4 linked regions of the Macaca fascicularis genome follow. The protein of the gene in region 3 purifies or fractionates together with the protein of the main gene of each other region. This does not show direct contact. Links are inferred from orthologs where the notes say so. Each region holds a gene or a part of one and is shown on either strand. Other genes may lie near its edges. The genes, in order: BCL7C, DPF2, SMARCC1 and SS18.

The links.
Region 1: the proteins of SMARCC1 (region 3) and BCL7C purify together in Homo sapiens (affinity purification with mass spectrometry; 4 studies listed by BioGRID and IntAct, counting the BioPlex papers as one, with this or other methods). This does not show direct contact. The link is inferred for Macaca fascicularis from reciprocal best matches to the Homo sapiens genes SMARCC1 and BCL7C.
Region 2: the proteins of SMARCC1 (region 3) and DPF2 purify together in Homo sapiens (affinity purification with mass spectrometry; 9 studies listed by BioGRID and IntAct, counting the BioPlex papers as one, with this or other methods). This does not show direct contact. The link is inferred for Macaca fascicularis from reciprocal best matches to the Homo sapiens genes SMARCC1 and DPF2.
Region 4: the proteins of SMARCC1 (region 3) and SS18 purify together in Homo sapiens (affinity purification with mass spectrometry; 4 studies listed by BioGRID and IntAct, counting the BioPlex papers as one, with this or other methods). This does not show direct contact. The link is inferred for Macaca fascicularis from reciprocal best matches to the Homo sapiens genes SMARCC1 and SS18.

The regions. Positions count from the first base shown.
Region 1 is NC_088394.1:29,026,364-29,029,770, reverse strand, and holds the end of BCL7C (B-cell CLL/lymphoma 7 protein family member C), read left to right. Parts: intron 1-1,483; coding exon 1,484-1,837; 3' UTR 1,838-2,867; downstream 2,868-3,407. UniProt on the Homo sapiens protein: May play an anti-apoptotic role.
Region 2 is NC_088388.1:9,032,647-9,036,215, forward strand, and holds part of DPF2 (zinc finger protein ubi-d4), read right to left. Parts: intron 3,310-3,569; coding exon 3,146-3,309; intron 974-3,145; coding exon 881-973; intron 728-880; coding exon 649-727; intron 139-648; coding exon 97-138; intron 1-96. UniProt on the Homo sapiens protein: Plays an active role in transcriptional regulation by binding modified histones H3 and H4. Is a negative regulator of myeloid differentiation of hematopoietic progenitor cells. Might also have a role in the development and maturation of lymphoid cells.
Region 3 is NC_088376.1:110,605,719-110,609,287, forward strand, and holds part of SMARCC1 (SWI/SNF complex subunit SMARCC1), read right to left. Parts: intron 3,099-3,569; coding exon 2,985-3,098; intron 1,583-2,984; coding exon 1,429-1,582; intron 406-1,428; coding exon 292-405; intron 1-291. UniProt on the Homo sapiens protein: Involved in transcriptional activation and repression of select genes by chromatin remodeling (alteration of DNA-nucleosome topology).
Region 4 is NC_088392.1:63,745,361-63,748,929, reverse strand, and holds part of SS18 (protein SSXT), read right to left. Parts: intron 3,342-3,569; coding exon 3,208-3,341; intron 1-3,207. UniProt on the Homo sapiens protein: Appears to function synergistically with RBM14 as a transcriptional coactivator. Isoform 1 and isoform 2 function in nuclear receptor coactivation. Isoform 1 and isoform 2 function in general transcriptional coactivation.

The sequences.
Region 1 (3,407 bases), on a different chromosome or scaffold from region 3:
TTGACTAACGAGGAGCTGTTGGAACTGGAACAGGAACACATAGCTGAAGAAGAGGCAAGAGAAAAAAAAAACTGCAGGAGAAGAAAAACCCAGAAGAAAATTCACAGTGAAGGGTTTAGCAGAAGCTGCTGCAGACCTCAACAAACTCCTTAAAACGTTGAAAACATGGACCCCCACACTGAATGGTTTTCATTAATAGAGAGATATGCTTGTGGTGCATTATCTGTTTACAAGCAAATGTATGATTAAAATAAAAGAAAGAAACCAAGCAAACCACTATGGACATTTTTTGAAAGAGTGATAGTCCCTCAAGAAGAGCCTCAGGCAGGTCCTACAGGAGGAATTCCAGAAGAATGTGTTATCATAGGAGATAACAGCTCCATGCGTGTTACTGCCTCTGAAGACCTTCCAGAGGGGCATGATGTGGAGGTGGAAGACAGTGATCTCGATGATCTTGACCTAGTGTAGGCCTAGGCTGATGTGTGTGTGTGTGTATATGTGTCTTAGTTATTAACAAAAAAGTTTAAAATATTGAAAAATATACTTTTTAAAATAGAAAAAGTTGGCCAGGCGTGGTGGCTCACGCCTGTAATCCCAGCACTTTGGGAGGCCGAGACGGGTGGATCACCTGAGGTCAGGAGTTTGAGACCAGCCTGACCAACATGGAGAAACCCCATCTCTACTAAAAAAAATACAAAATTAGCCAGGCGTGGTGGCGCACGCCTGTAATCCCAGTTACTCGGGAGGCAGAGACAGGAGAATCGCTTGAACACAGGAGGCGGAGGTTGCGGTGAGCCGAGATCATGCCATTGCTCTCCAGCCTGGGCAACAAGAGCAAGACTCCGTCTCAAAAAATAAATAAATTAAATAAAATAGAAAAAGCTTCTAGAATAAGGATATAAAGAAGGGAAATATTTTTGTACAGCTGTACAATGTGTACTTTAAGTGTAATAACATTTATTAATAAGTTTATTGACAAAAGAGTCAGTAAGTTTAAAAAATTAAAAAGTTTGGGTGTGTGAGGTGGCTCACACCTGTAATTTCAGCACTTTGGGAAGCTGAGGCGGGTGAATCACCTGAGGTCAGGAGTTCGAGACCAGCCTGACTAATATGGTGAAACCCCGTCTCTACTAAAAATACAAAAATTAGCCAGCCGTGTTGGCATGCGCCTGTAATCCCAGCTACTTGGGAGGCTGAGGCAGGAGAATCGCTTGAACCCGGGAGGCGGAGGTTGCCATGAGTCGAGATCACGACACTGCACTCCAGGCTGAGCGACAAAGCGGGACTCCATCTCACCAAAAAAAAAAAAAAAAAAATGTATAAAGTTACTAGGTGAGTGCAAAAGTAATTGTTGGAATTTGCCATTTGATTTTGGAATACATTCTTAAATAAATGTGGTTATGTTATACATCATTTTAATGGGCATTTCTCACTTTATTTTTTTAATGACTTATTACTGCTGTTTATTTTACATTTATTTTAGACTATGGAAATGATGTTAGACAAAAAGCAAATTCAAGCAATTTTCTTATTCAAGTTAAAAATGGGTCATAAAGCAACAGAGATACATCGCAACATCAACAACACATTTGGCCCAGGAACTGCTAACAAACATACAGTACAGTGGTGGTTCAAGCAGTTTTGCAAAGAAGATGAGAGCCTTGAAGATGAGGAACATAACATCCGGCCATCGGAAATTGACAATGACCAACTGAAAGCAATCATTGAAGCTGATCCTCTTAAAACTACACGGGAAGTTGCCCAAGAACTCAACCATCGACCATTCTATGGCCATTTGGCGTTTGAAGCAAATTGGAAAGGTGAAAAAGCTCAATAAGTGGGTGCCTCATGACCTTACCAAATATTTTTTAAAAAGTCATTTTGAAGTGTCTTCTTCTCTTATTCTATGCAACAACAATGAACCATTTCTTGATCAGATTGTGACGTGCGACAAAAAGTCGATTTTATATGACAACCGGCAACAACCAGCTCTATGAGTGTACTGAGAAGTAGCTCTAAAGCACTTCCCAAAGCCAACCTTGCACCAAAAAAAGGTCACAGTAACTGTTTGGTGGTCTGCTGCTGGTCTGATCCACTGCAGCTTTCTGAATCCCAGTGAAACCATTACATCTGAGAAGTATGCTCAGCAAATGGATGAGATGCACGGAAAACTGCAAGGCCTGCTGTGGCATTGCTCACCAGAAAGGGCCCAGTTATTCTCCATGACAGCAACCACACATCGCATAACCAACGCTTCAAAAGTTGAGGTTGGGTACGGTGGCTCACGCCTGTAATCCCAACATTTTGGGAGGCCAAGGTGGACAGATCACTTGAGGTCAGGAGTTCGAGAACAGCCTGGCCAACATGGTGAAACCCGTCTCTACTAAAAATACAAAAATTAACTGGGTATGATAGCTGGCGCATGTAATCCCAGCTACTCGAGAGGCTGAGGCAAGAGAACTGCTTAAACCCAGAAGGTGGAGGTTGTGGTGGCTCATGCCACTGCACTCCAGCCTGGGTGACAGAGCGAGACTCTGTCTCAAAAAAAAAAAAAAAAAAAAAAAAAGTTGAACAAATGGAGCTATGAAGTTTTGCTTCATCCACCATATTCACCTGACCTCTTGCCTACTGACTACCACTTCTTCACGCATCCCAACGGTTTTTTGCAAGGAAAACGCTTCCACACCCAGCACGATGCAGAAAATGCTTTCCAAGAGTTTTCTGAATCCCAAAGCACAGATTATTACGATACAGGAATAAACAAACTTATTTCTCACTGGAAAAAATGTGTTGATTGTAAAAATGTGTTGATTGGAATGGTTGATTGTAATGGTATGAATTTTGATTAATAAAGATGTGTTTGAGCCTAGTTATAATGATTTAAAATTCATGGTCCGAAACCGCAATTACATTTGCACCAAGAGTTGCAGTTAGCTAAAATTAATTTATTACTGCAGAAAAAATCTTCTTTGTAAATTTAATGTAGCCTATATATACAGCATTCATAAAGCCTACAATGGTGTACCATAATGTTCTAGGACTTCACATTCGCTCCCTACTGACTTACTAACTCATCTAGGGCCACTTCCAGTCCTGCAGGCTCCATTCTGGTAAGTGCCCTAGGTACTTACCATGGCATACCGTGGTATACCAGCGTGGCATGCCATTTTATCTTTTACGCTGTATTTTTACTGTACCTTTTCTGTGTTTAAATACACAAATACTTACCATCGTGTTACAAAATTATATATGTCACCTATAGTATTCAGGACAGTAACATGCTGTACAGATCTGTAGCCTAGGAGCAATAGTCTATATGATACAGTCTAGATTTGTAGTAGCAGGTTATACCATCTAGGTTTGTGTGACTACACTCCATGATGTCTGCACAATGACAAAATCGCCCA
Region 2 (3,569 bases), on a different chromosome or scaffold from region 3:
AAGCTAGCATCCCAGGAAATGAGAAAGGCAGGAGGAACAAGGGAAGAGGGAAAAAGGGACAGGAAAACCACAAGTCTGAAAAGTTGAGAGAGCTACCTCTCTGGGGCGCTTTCGAGGTATGCTTTTGTTTGAAACTATCTGAAAGACAGAAAGAAAAGTCATGAGAAGAAGGCCTTGATACACTTGAGACAGGAGCAGCATCAGCAGGAAAGCGGAGCAAACGAGAGAGAAACCCCAGCGGCGATGGTGCTCCCAGGGTGGAGGGACAGAAGCGGGGCAAGGCAGAGAGAAAGAAAAAGAGAACAGACGTTGAAAAACTCAGTGTCAGACCCCTGGGGCCCTGGCTTAACTGAGGCCAGGAGACCTGCAGGCTGTCTCTTGAGAGGCCAACCCTGCCTGCTGTGGCCCCCACAAGCAACCCCACCCCAGAAGATGGCAGAAATCTTTCCCAGAGCATGCAGGTCCCACCCGTCATATAGCAGGGCCCCAGGCCTCCCAGGGGTCTCAGACGGAAGCAGTCAGCAGGCAGGACAAGAACCCAGGTTTGTTTTAATACTCTGGGCAAAAACATAACCCTCCCTCCTCTCATAGCCTGAGCAGGAGCTGGGTCCAAGGCAAGGTCTACCCACCCACTTGTGAGGCACTCACTGTCACAGGCATACGGTTTATCCCGGTCCTCCAGGATGGAAGCATCCAGCTTCTTACGGGCACTGCCCACACCCTTACCCTGCCAAGAAGAGCAAAGAGACACCCTTATTGCGGTAGCTGGGCCTGAGGAGTTAGACTCTTTGGGAAGTGGCTGCTAATCTCACTTGAAATAAAACAAGGAATTCCCTAGGCCACCCTGTCCCAAGATGCAGGTAGCACGCTGGCCCCTCACCTTGGATTTCCCCTTTCCCCGACGCTTGGGAGTATCTTCTTCATAGTCTTCATCATCGAGGTCATCCAGGAAGTCATCTGGTTCTAGGATCCGCTGAGTGGACAGCAGGGTTAGCATGGGTAGAAATATGTGCATCCAAAAGCTCCCCTATGATGAGATTGGCCAAGGCCACCCAGAACCTCCTCTGTGACCTGGTCCCACCCACAGGGGAATGAGCCTCATTTCTCACCAACGCCCTTCAAGCACCCTACAATCCTGCTCCTGCTCCCTTCCATACTTTGGGATTTCTTTCCCCTGTGCTTCACATTATTTCCTTAGCCTGAAATGCTTTCCCTACCATGCCACATGGCCAAATCAAATAGCATGCTTCCAAAAGGTTGCCCCGATGCCACAAGCAGCCATGCCCTCTCCTGCCTCTGATTGGCCACCCTGGGAGCACATTACTGGTGGTTCTGTCCTGACACTCGCCTCCTAGTTTAAATGAAAATGTTGTTGCTTATGTGTGTGACTTTGTGGGAAGTTTTTTTTTTTTTTGAGACGGAGTTTCACTCTTGTTGCCCAGGCTGGAGTACAATGGCGCAATACTGGCTTACTGCACCCTCCGTCTCCTGCGTTCAAGTGATCCTCCTGCCTCAGCCTCCCAAGTAGCTGGGATTACAGGCATGCGCCAGCATGCCCGGTTAATACTATATTTTTAGTAGAAACGGGGTTTCTCCATGTTGGTCAGGCTGGTTTTGAATTCCCAACCTCAGATGATCCACCTACTTCGGCCTCTCAAAGTGCTGGGATTACAGGCGTGAGCCACCGTGGCTGGCCATGGGAAGTTTTTTTTTGAGACGGAGTCTCATTCTGTCGCCCAGGCTGGAGTGCAGTGGTGCGATCTCAGCTCACTGCAAGCACTACCTCCCGGGTTCATGCCTGAGTAGCTGGGACTGCAGGTGCCCACCACCACACCTGGCTAATTTTTTTGTATCTTTAGTAGAGACGGGGTTTCACCATGTTAGCCAGGATGGTCTTGATCTCCTGACCTCATGATCTGCCTGCCTTGGCCTCCCAAAGGGATTACAGGCGTAAGCCACCGTGCCCAGCCCATGGGAAGTTTTTAAACTGCTTTGTTTCAGCTTGTCTGTGAAATGGGGAACACAGGACCTCCCCCATAAGGTTGTACAGACTAAAGGAGAAAGGGCATGAGAAAGCACTTAGCCCAATGCTGGCATATTTATAGCTCTTATTTTTATATATAGTCTTATCTTCTCTGTTGGCAGAGACCAAGTGTGTTTCACTGTGCAACCTCAGGGACCAAAAAACTTTGTGACACAAACTTTTGTGATAAAAGAGTAAAGTATTTAGGGATAAAAGTTTGTTTCCCTCCCTCCCCAGACAGGGTCTCCCTCTGTTACTCAGGCTGGAGTGCAGTGGCATGAGCAGAGCTACAGCCTCAATCTCCTGGGCTCAAGCAATCCTCCCACCTCAGCCTCCTGAGTAGCTGGGACTGCAGGTGTGTGCCACCATGCCCAGCTAATTTTTTATTTTTATTTTTAGTAGAGACAAGGTCCTGCTATGTTGCCTAGACTGAAAAGTTTTTGATATATGCATCTTCCTCTCAAACGGTTTAGCAAAGACAGATAAGGCAAATGTGGCAAAATGTGAAACTGATAAATCTAGGTAAAGAGTATACGGTATTTCTTTGTACTATTCTTGTACCTTCTGGTTTTAATTTTTTTTTGTTGCCCAGGCTGGAGTGCAGTGGCATGATCCCGGCTTACTGAAGCCTCCAACTCCCAGGCTCAAGCAATTCTCCCACCTCAGCTTCCCTAGTAGCTGGGACAACAGGCACATGCCGCTATGCCCGGGTAATTTTTTTTATTATTACTTTTTGTAGATATGGGGTCTCACTTTGTTGCCCAGGCTGGTCTCGAGCTCTTGGGCTCAAGCAATCCTCCTGCCTTGGCCTCCCAAGGTGCTGGGATTATAGGCATGAGCCACTGCACCTGGCCTCTTTTAATTTTTTAAATGAAAATTATATATGTGTATAATAATAACGTTCTGTGATAAAAGTGGATGAATGAGTGAGAGTCTATACTTAGAAGCAAAAGAGAAGCCAGTCAGTACCTGACAATAACCAGGGATTGAAGTAAGAACAGAACTGCAGGGGCCTGCTTCCTGGACCCCAGCTTCTGTTTCAGTTCTAGAAACTGCATGGCCCCAGTGAAGAGGAGGCTGATTTCCATCAAAGCTCCCTTAGCCACAGGGATAATCTTGTACCTTTCGCGCTCGACTGTTGGTCACAGGAAACTCGCCCAGGCTGTCATCATCAACTCGGGGATCCGGGGCGCCTCGCTTCTCCAGGGGGTCAGTGCGCAACAGAGCCTCTAAACTACTGCCATCCTGAGAGATCAGCCCCTCCTTCTTCAGGGTTTGGTCTGTGTCTGCAAGCAAGATCAGGATGAAGCAAAGCTCAGAATGGCTGAAAGCAGACTGCTCTGAGTCCACATAATGCTAGGGCTTACCAAAGGTCTGTCACTGTCTTTTGTTCCCCGGATGCCCAGGAATTAAGACACCCTAGTTCACTTGGCACCATAACTTATCTGTTTACCTGTCTCCCCTTCTAGACTAAGCTCTTTAAAGGAAAGAATCACATCATATTCACTTGAGTATATTTGGGATCTAGTACTGGGCCTGGTATATC
Region 3 (3,569 bases):
TAAACCTATCAAATAATTTCAAGTATACTTTTCAGTTCTAAAATATTCATGATTCTTTTTACAGATTCCAATTCTCTCTTCAAATTCTCCATTTTCCCATCGAATTTCTCTAATAGTGTTATTTTTAAAATACCTATCTACTAAGTCATATGGGAATATAAAAGGTAAGATAAATCATAATTGTTTTTAAAAATACCATCAGATTTGAGTAGAAAGCTCATCAGATGTATCTTAGAAGGACTAAGATGTGCTGGATTGTAGCCTACATGTGATTAGAAAAAAAATCCTTACCTTTGCTAATGTTTTCTTGGAGTAAATATCAGTACGTAGACCAAAGTTCTGCAAATCAATTGGTTTTTCCTTGTTTTTCTCAGGAAAATTTAGCATCTGTTGAGCAGCAGGAACCTGAGTCAAATAAATGATAAACGGCTGAGTTAGCCTCTTTAAAGTCAAGAGGGTAAACGTTTTTTAAAATTTGTTTAGGCCGGGCGCGGTGGCTCATGCCTGTAATCCCAGCACTTCGGGAGGCCGAGGCGGGCGGATCACAAGGTTAGGAGCTCAAGACCAGCCTGACCAAAATGGTGAAACCCCATCTCTACTAAAAATACAAAAATTAGCTGGGCGTTGTGGCATGTGACTATAATCCCAGCTACTCAGGAGACTGAGGCAGTAGAATTGCTTATAACCCGGAGGCGGAAATTGCAGTGAGCCAAGATCATGCCACTACACTCCAGCCTGGGGAGCAGAGACAGACTCTGTCTCCAAAAAAAAAAAAAAAAAAAAGGTTAATATTGGAACTTAAGCCACTCTTGGTGGATTTCCTACGAAAAACAATAAATACCCACACTTCTACACTATACTTCTAACAAAAATTCAACATACAAGTTACATTTTGGTGTCCCTTAAGTCCAGAAAGGATAACAAATTTTCATTACTATATTCTATTTCACAATGGAACAAAATTTATACCTTAGGTTCCTGTGAATCCAACTTAATGCTATACAGAATTTGTCTGACATAATCTGTTTGATAATGTATATATGGATGTCCACTTTACAAATCTTAGGACAAGTTATAAAGATTTCTTTGCTTCACGTTTCTAGAACACAGACTGAAGGAAGGGAAAGAAGATTTTGCATCATCTGCTTACTTATGTGTGTCTTTTTGATGACAGAAGGATAAAGGGAGTTATGCATATAAAAGTAAATTAATAATTTGATAGACTAAGGCATTGGGTTTTGGGATTGGTGGGACAGCATTAACTTAAACACTATATATTCTTTTGGACTGTAATATTTACAGTACACCAAAACACACATACAAACAAGCATCAAAGAAACAGCACTAACAACAGCATTCCTAAATAGATATGCTATAAACAGACATTTGTTACTATTCAGGTCTGATGAAAAGTCAACATTAATTTACCTGAGGTGATCGAAGATGCAGAGGCACAAGCCCAGAGGGAGTATCAGCTAATACATTAAAATGAGGAGTAGGAGGAGGTCCCATTGCCATAGGTCTACTTTCCGGGTCAACTTGGTAATTAACGAGTCCCCACTGCTCTAAAAAGGCATGGACCCTAAAGAATAAAGCTCGGAAAGTTAAAATCTAAAGAATCAATTTCATGTGCTTTATTATCATCATTACACCATTAAAAAACAGAAACAATAAAACAAGTAAATGTGCTCAGCAGGCTATCAAACACCACAAATTACTTGACAGATTTTGTTTGTTATGTAGGGAACAATTTCTACAAGCCACAAATAATGTTGATAACACAGCACCCCCCAAACCTATTACAAAGTTTAATCATTTAAATCACAGAAATGAGAGCACAAATACGCATTTAGGTCCATGGTAATAAAAGAACCCACACACAGACCAAATACACACATAGAAAAAATCCACATTTTTCTTGACAGAGTCTCGCTCTGTCTCTCAGGCTGGAGTGCAATGGTGCAATCTCAGCTCACTGCAACCTACTCAGCCTCCTCGGTTCAAGCGATTCTCCTGCCTCAGCCTCCCAAGTAGCTGAGAGTACAGGTGCCCGTCACCATGCCCAGCTAATGTTTGGTATTTTTAGTAGAAACAGGCTTTCACCATGTTGGCCAGGCTGGTCTCGAACTCCTGACCTCAGGTGATCCACCCACCTCGGCCTCCCAAAGTGCTGGGATTACAGGTGTGAGCCACTGTACCTGGCGGGTTTTTTTTTTGTTTTTTTTTTGGCAGAGCTAGGGCGCAGAGTTTATCCACTCCCAACCTGAATCTACTCCTTCCCTGGTTATTTTATGATTTGACTAAAAAAATTAAAATGTGAACTGTAAAATCTAGAAAACTAAATATTTATCTTACTTATTTTATTTTTTTGAGACACAATCTCGCTCTGTCGCCCAGGCTGGAATGCAGTGGGACAATCTCAGCTCACTGCAATCTCTGCCTCCTGAATTCTCCTGCCTCAGCCTCCCCAATAGCTAAGATTACAGTCATGTGCCACCACGCTCGGCTAATTTTTATATTTTTAGTAGAGAAGGGGTTTCACCATGTTGGCCAGGCTCGAACTCCTGACCTCAGGTGATCCGCCCACCTTGGCTTCTCCAAGTGCTGGGAATATAGGCGTAAGCCACTGCACCCAGCCTAAATTAAATATTTTAAATTTTCAACCTCTAATGCTGAACACAGTGCTCACGCCTGCAATCACAATACTTCAGGAGACCGAGGCAGGAGAATTGCTTGAGGCCAGGAGATTGAGACCAGCCTTGGCAACATTATGAAATCCCATCTCGACAATAAAATTAAATTAATAAAATAAAATAAAAATAAAATAAATTGAATGAAATGAAAGGAAACAAAATATAATCCACCCCTAAATGACACAACTAAAATTAGGTGTTTTACCCAGTTGAAACAACCAGTTTAATATGACAGCAAAGCATAAGTAAATTCCTACAGTTAAATGTCTCAGAAAAAGTCAAACATTTTACCTCATCACAGCACACACATCTCCAGTCAAGTTCCTCCGACAAGCAGTGCTAGTTAAATACTCTTGGGGGTTTAGGCGATACGTGTCAATCATAAAATTTCGATATGCCAAGTATCTAAAAAGCAATGGCAAAATTCATAAGGTGGACACGTATCCTTTCAGAAACAATGTTACTCAGAAACTCAAAAATCTTCAGATTCCTTAGAAATACAATAAATTAAAACAAGAGCATAAAAAAACGGTGATATTATATTGCATATTAAGTTATGAGTGAATTTAGAACCACAAATATGCAAAACAACTGTTTACTAATGTATAATAACAAGTAATGTAACGACATTCATGTGAAGTAACATAAATTCAAACTTGGTCATGGTGGTAGTTAACTGCAGAATTTGAAACTAACACATGGTTACATAGGCTATCTGCCTCACTACCACATATCTATACTTTACTGTGTGCAGGGCACTGTTATAAGCAATGTATGTCTGACAACTGAATCCTCATAATCGCTCCATATTGCAGGTAGGGTCTGCTATCATCCCATCTATGGGTGAGGAAACAAACACTGAGTTGTTAGAGAATT
Region 4 (3,569 bases), on a different chromosome or scaffold from region 3:
GTTCAAAAAACTATGAAAAGGGTGGGGAAAAAGAGTGATGCAATGGAGGGTGCTACTGTGTTAGGTGGTCAGTGAAGGACTCTCTGAGATGATATGGTGACATTTAAGCAGAGATTTTAATAAAGTGAGGTTGGAGGCACTGCAGGCATTCAGGCAGAAGAGGGGGTAGCAAATACAAAGGTTCTCAGGTAGAAACTCACTTGATGCATATAAGAAACAGCAAATAGGCCAGTGTGACTGAAGCAGAGTGAATTAGGGCAGCAAGTAGTTGGGACATAAATAGGCAGGCACGAGGAGGGTAGCATAGGAGGTAGGAACACAAGTCCTATACGGCCTTGTAGGCCAGTATATCATATGGCTTTTACTTAAAACATCACAGGGTTGTAAGCACAGAGTTGACTAATGTCTTTAAAACATTACTCTGGGCTCCATGTGCAGAGTATCTTGTAGAGGAGGCAGGATAAAATCAAGAAAACCAAAAAGAAGGATATATTGCAACAGTCCAGATGAGTGCTAGTTGTGACTTTCAGTTGGGTGAAAGGAGACTGTGAAAAATGGCTAGATATTGGATATATTTTGAAGGAAGAGGTGAGGAGATTTGCTAATTGACTAGATGTTTGCTTTGCAAAGAGGGGCATCAAAGAGGACTGTAGGTTTTTAACCTGAGGAACAGGAAGAATGGAGCCACTGTTTATTGGGATAGGGAGGACCGATGGGGAAGTATCGTAGCAATTTCCACCCTTTTAATTTCTCCCCTTTTATCTTGCATATTGCTATAAGAGTAATCTGCCTAAACTACAATTATAATTATGTTAGTATTGGGTTTCAGAATCTTCATTAGCTTCATTGGCTCTTCCTTGGTACTTCACACTTAAATATAATATTTCCCAAGGAATATTTCTCAAGATCTGAGTTAGAAGCTCCTTCCACATAAATCTTAGCTTCTCTTATCTAAGTATTTATCACACTATATCATATCATATGTTTACCTGCCTGTAGCCATCTAGACTTAAGTTCATAAAGGCTGAGTCCATGTCTATCTTATTTCCCAATATGTTCCCAATCTTCACATGGCACTTGGCATACAATGGTTGCTCAATAAACATTTGCTTAATGAACGGCTTTAAGTTTAGGAGATTTGGAAATACATTGACTTAGAAAGGAAAATGGTGAGTTTAGTCTACAACATGCTAAAGCTGAGGGAATCCAAAGACAAGAGATGTTCTGTACATTTGGATAAAAAGGAGCTGAAACTGGGTTGAGAGGTAAGAGCTAATACTGAAAATAGAGGGCAGGATGATTCAGAGGCTAGAAAAAAAAAACAGAGTCAAGAACTGGTATTAGGGTAAAAAAAAAAAAAAAAGGAAAACCAATAAAAAAAAAAAAGAATGAACCAATGTAAACGCAAGAGGAACAAAATGGTTCAGAAATATAGAAGCTAAAGAAGACCATTTAAAAATGAAAAAGGAAAATGTGCCAATAGCTAAAGTGAGGTCAAGGAAGACCAAGATAGCTGACTATTTTACCTCTGCAGGACCTACTACAGTATCAAACACGTGGAGAATAAATTTTTGTTGAATGACGGAATACATGATCAGAATCTCACTTTTTAAAAAGTTCAGCTGTAGATTAGAATAAGCCTAAATTTGTTCTGCTCAGGAATCCTGCCTTTAAATACTCACTAGCCACAACTTATTTCACTTCTAAAACTTAATAAAACCTCCAACTGATCCTTATGTTTTGTTCGAGTATATTTTGGAAAAATATTACTTATCTATTCTTGCTTTTTGTATCTCCCTTGTCTTAAATAAGAAGTGCCAATACAAGAGGGTTGCAGGCGTGAGAGAGGGTTGATAAACGAACTGCTCACGCCTCAAATTCTAGTTACCACTGCATCTGAGTTTTTCCTCAAACCAGATACCCACGTTGGCCCTGAAAGCCTAAACTGCATATTAAAGACAGTTCCATGTTAAAAAATAACCTATTTTAGATAGTTTAAGTGGTGAACAAACCAGACCACCTTCACTGAAAAGCACAAACCTGAAACCAGCCTAAAGGAATTGCCATAATAAATCATTTCCATAATAATTCAGAGAATATATAAGTACATTCATAAAACAATGACTGTGGTACAAGTCTGAGGAGTTTAATGACAAAAAGAAGAAACTTAAATGAACACTGGGTTCAAGGGAATCAGTCATCATAGGATGAGATACACTTCTAAATATCTGAAAGTAGAATGACAAGTAGAGGAGAAATAACAGTTGAAACAATAGTTATGTGTGTGGAAGGAGGCAACAGAGGGCGGAAAGTTTGAATTTAAAGAGATGGGATATTACGGGTGTGAAGGAAGTGTAGTGGATATGCTGGAGTGAAGTGGAGTGCTAATGAAAGCATCAACACAGATGGACTCCACATCTCAGTAGCTCAAGGCAAAGTCTCAGCAATAAACATCAGGGAGGATCATAGAAATCACTAAGGTTACCAGAGGTTGGGAAGAAAAGGGATGAGAAGGGATCAAGGAGTGGGAAATAAATGAATTAACACTGAACTGTATGTACACTCAAAAATGGTAAATATGATAAACTCTGTATATATATTTTACCTCAGTAAACAAAGTATGCCTGAGGGTAAAGACCAGAGAGACAGAGAGAGAGAGAGAAGATATATGTAGTTGTCTTATGTTACGGCCATGTTTTATATGACAGAGTAACTATGATCAACTGTGTTATTAAATAGTATGAGACTCAAAAGTGACATACTTTTTAACAAATGTACCATAAACATTCCCTCATGAGGGAAACATGAGGCTTCAAGTTAAATTTAAAAAAAAAAACTTGGCCGGGCACGGTGGCTCACGTCTGTAATCCCAGCACTTTGGGAGGCTGAGGCGGGCGGATCATGAGGTCAGGAGCTCGAGACCATCCTGGCTAACATGGTGAAACCCCGTCTCTACTGAAAAGACAAAAAATTAGCCAGGCTTGGTGGTGTGCGCCTGTAGTCCCAGCTACTCGGAAGGCTGAGGCAGGAGAATGGCGTGAACCCGGGAGGCGGAGCTTGCAGTGAGCCGAGATTGTGCCACTGCACTCCAGCCTGGGCGACAGAGCGAGACTCTGTCTCAAAAAAAAAAAAAAAAAAAAAAAAAAGTTCACCTAATCAAGAGTGAACAAACAATGTGGCAATTCTGTAGCCGTTCAAACTACTTACCTGGTCGTATCCATAAGGCCTCTGCTGGGGTGGCTGTGGTGGTCCAGGCTGTGTTGGTCTATATCCTCCATACTGCTGACCTTGTCCCTGTGGGTAGTTAGGATACTGAGGACCTGGACCACCCTGTGAAGGACCTGCAAATAATTAACACAACAAAAACCCACATAACAAGTTAAGTCCCTGGAACTCAGGGAAGGATTTGAACTGGAGAGATGTTACAATATTTTTCTATCTAAACTTAAAAAAGATAGTTTGGTACCTTGATTTCCTCAAATGCTTTCTGAAATAAATCTGGATGGTAACAATAAGAGTAAAAATACTGTAATGCTACTTCACTGTAATTATTGTACTATGCCCTAGCC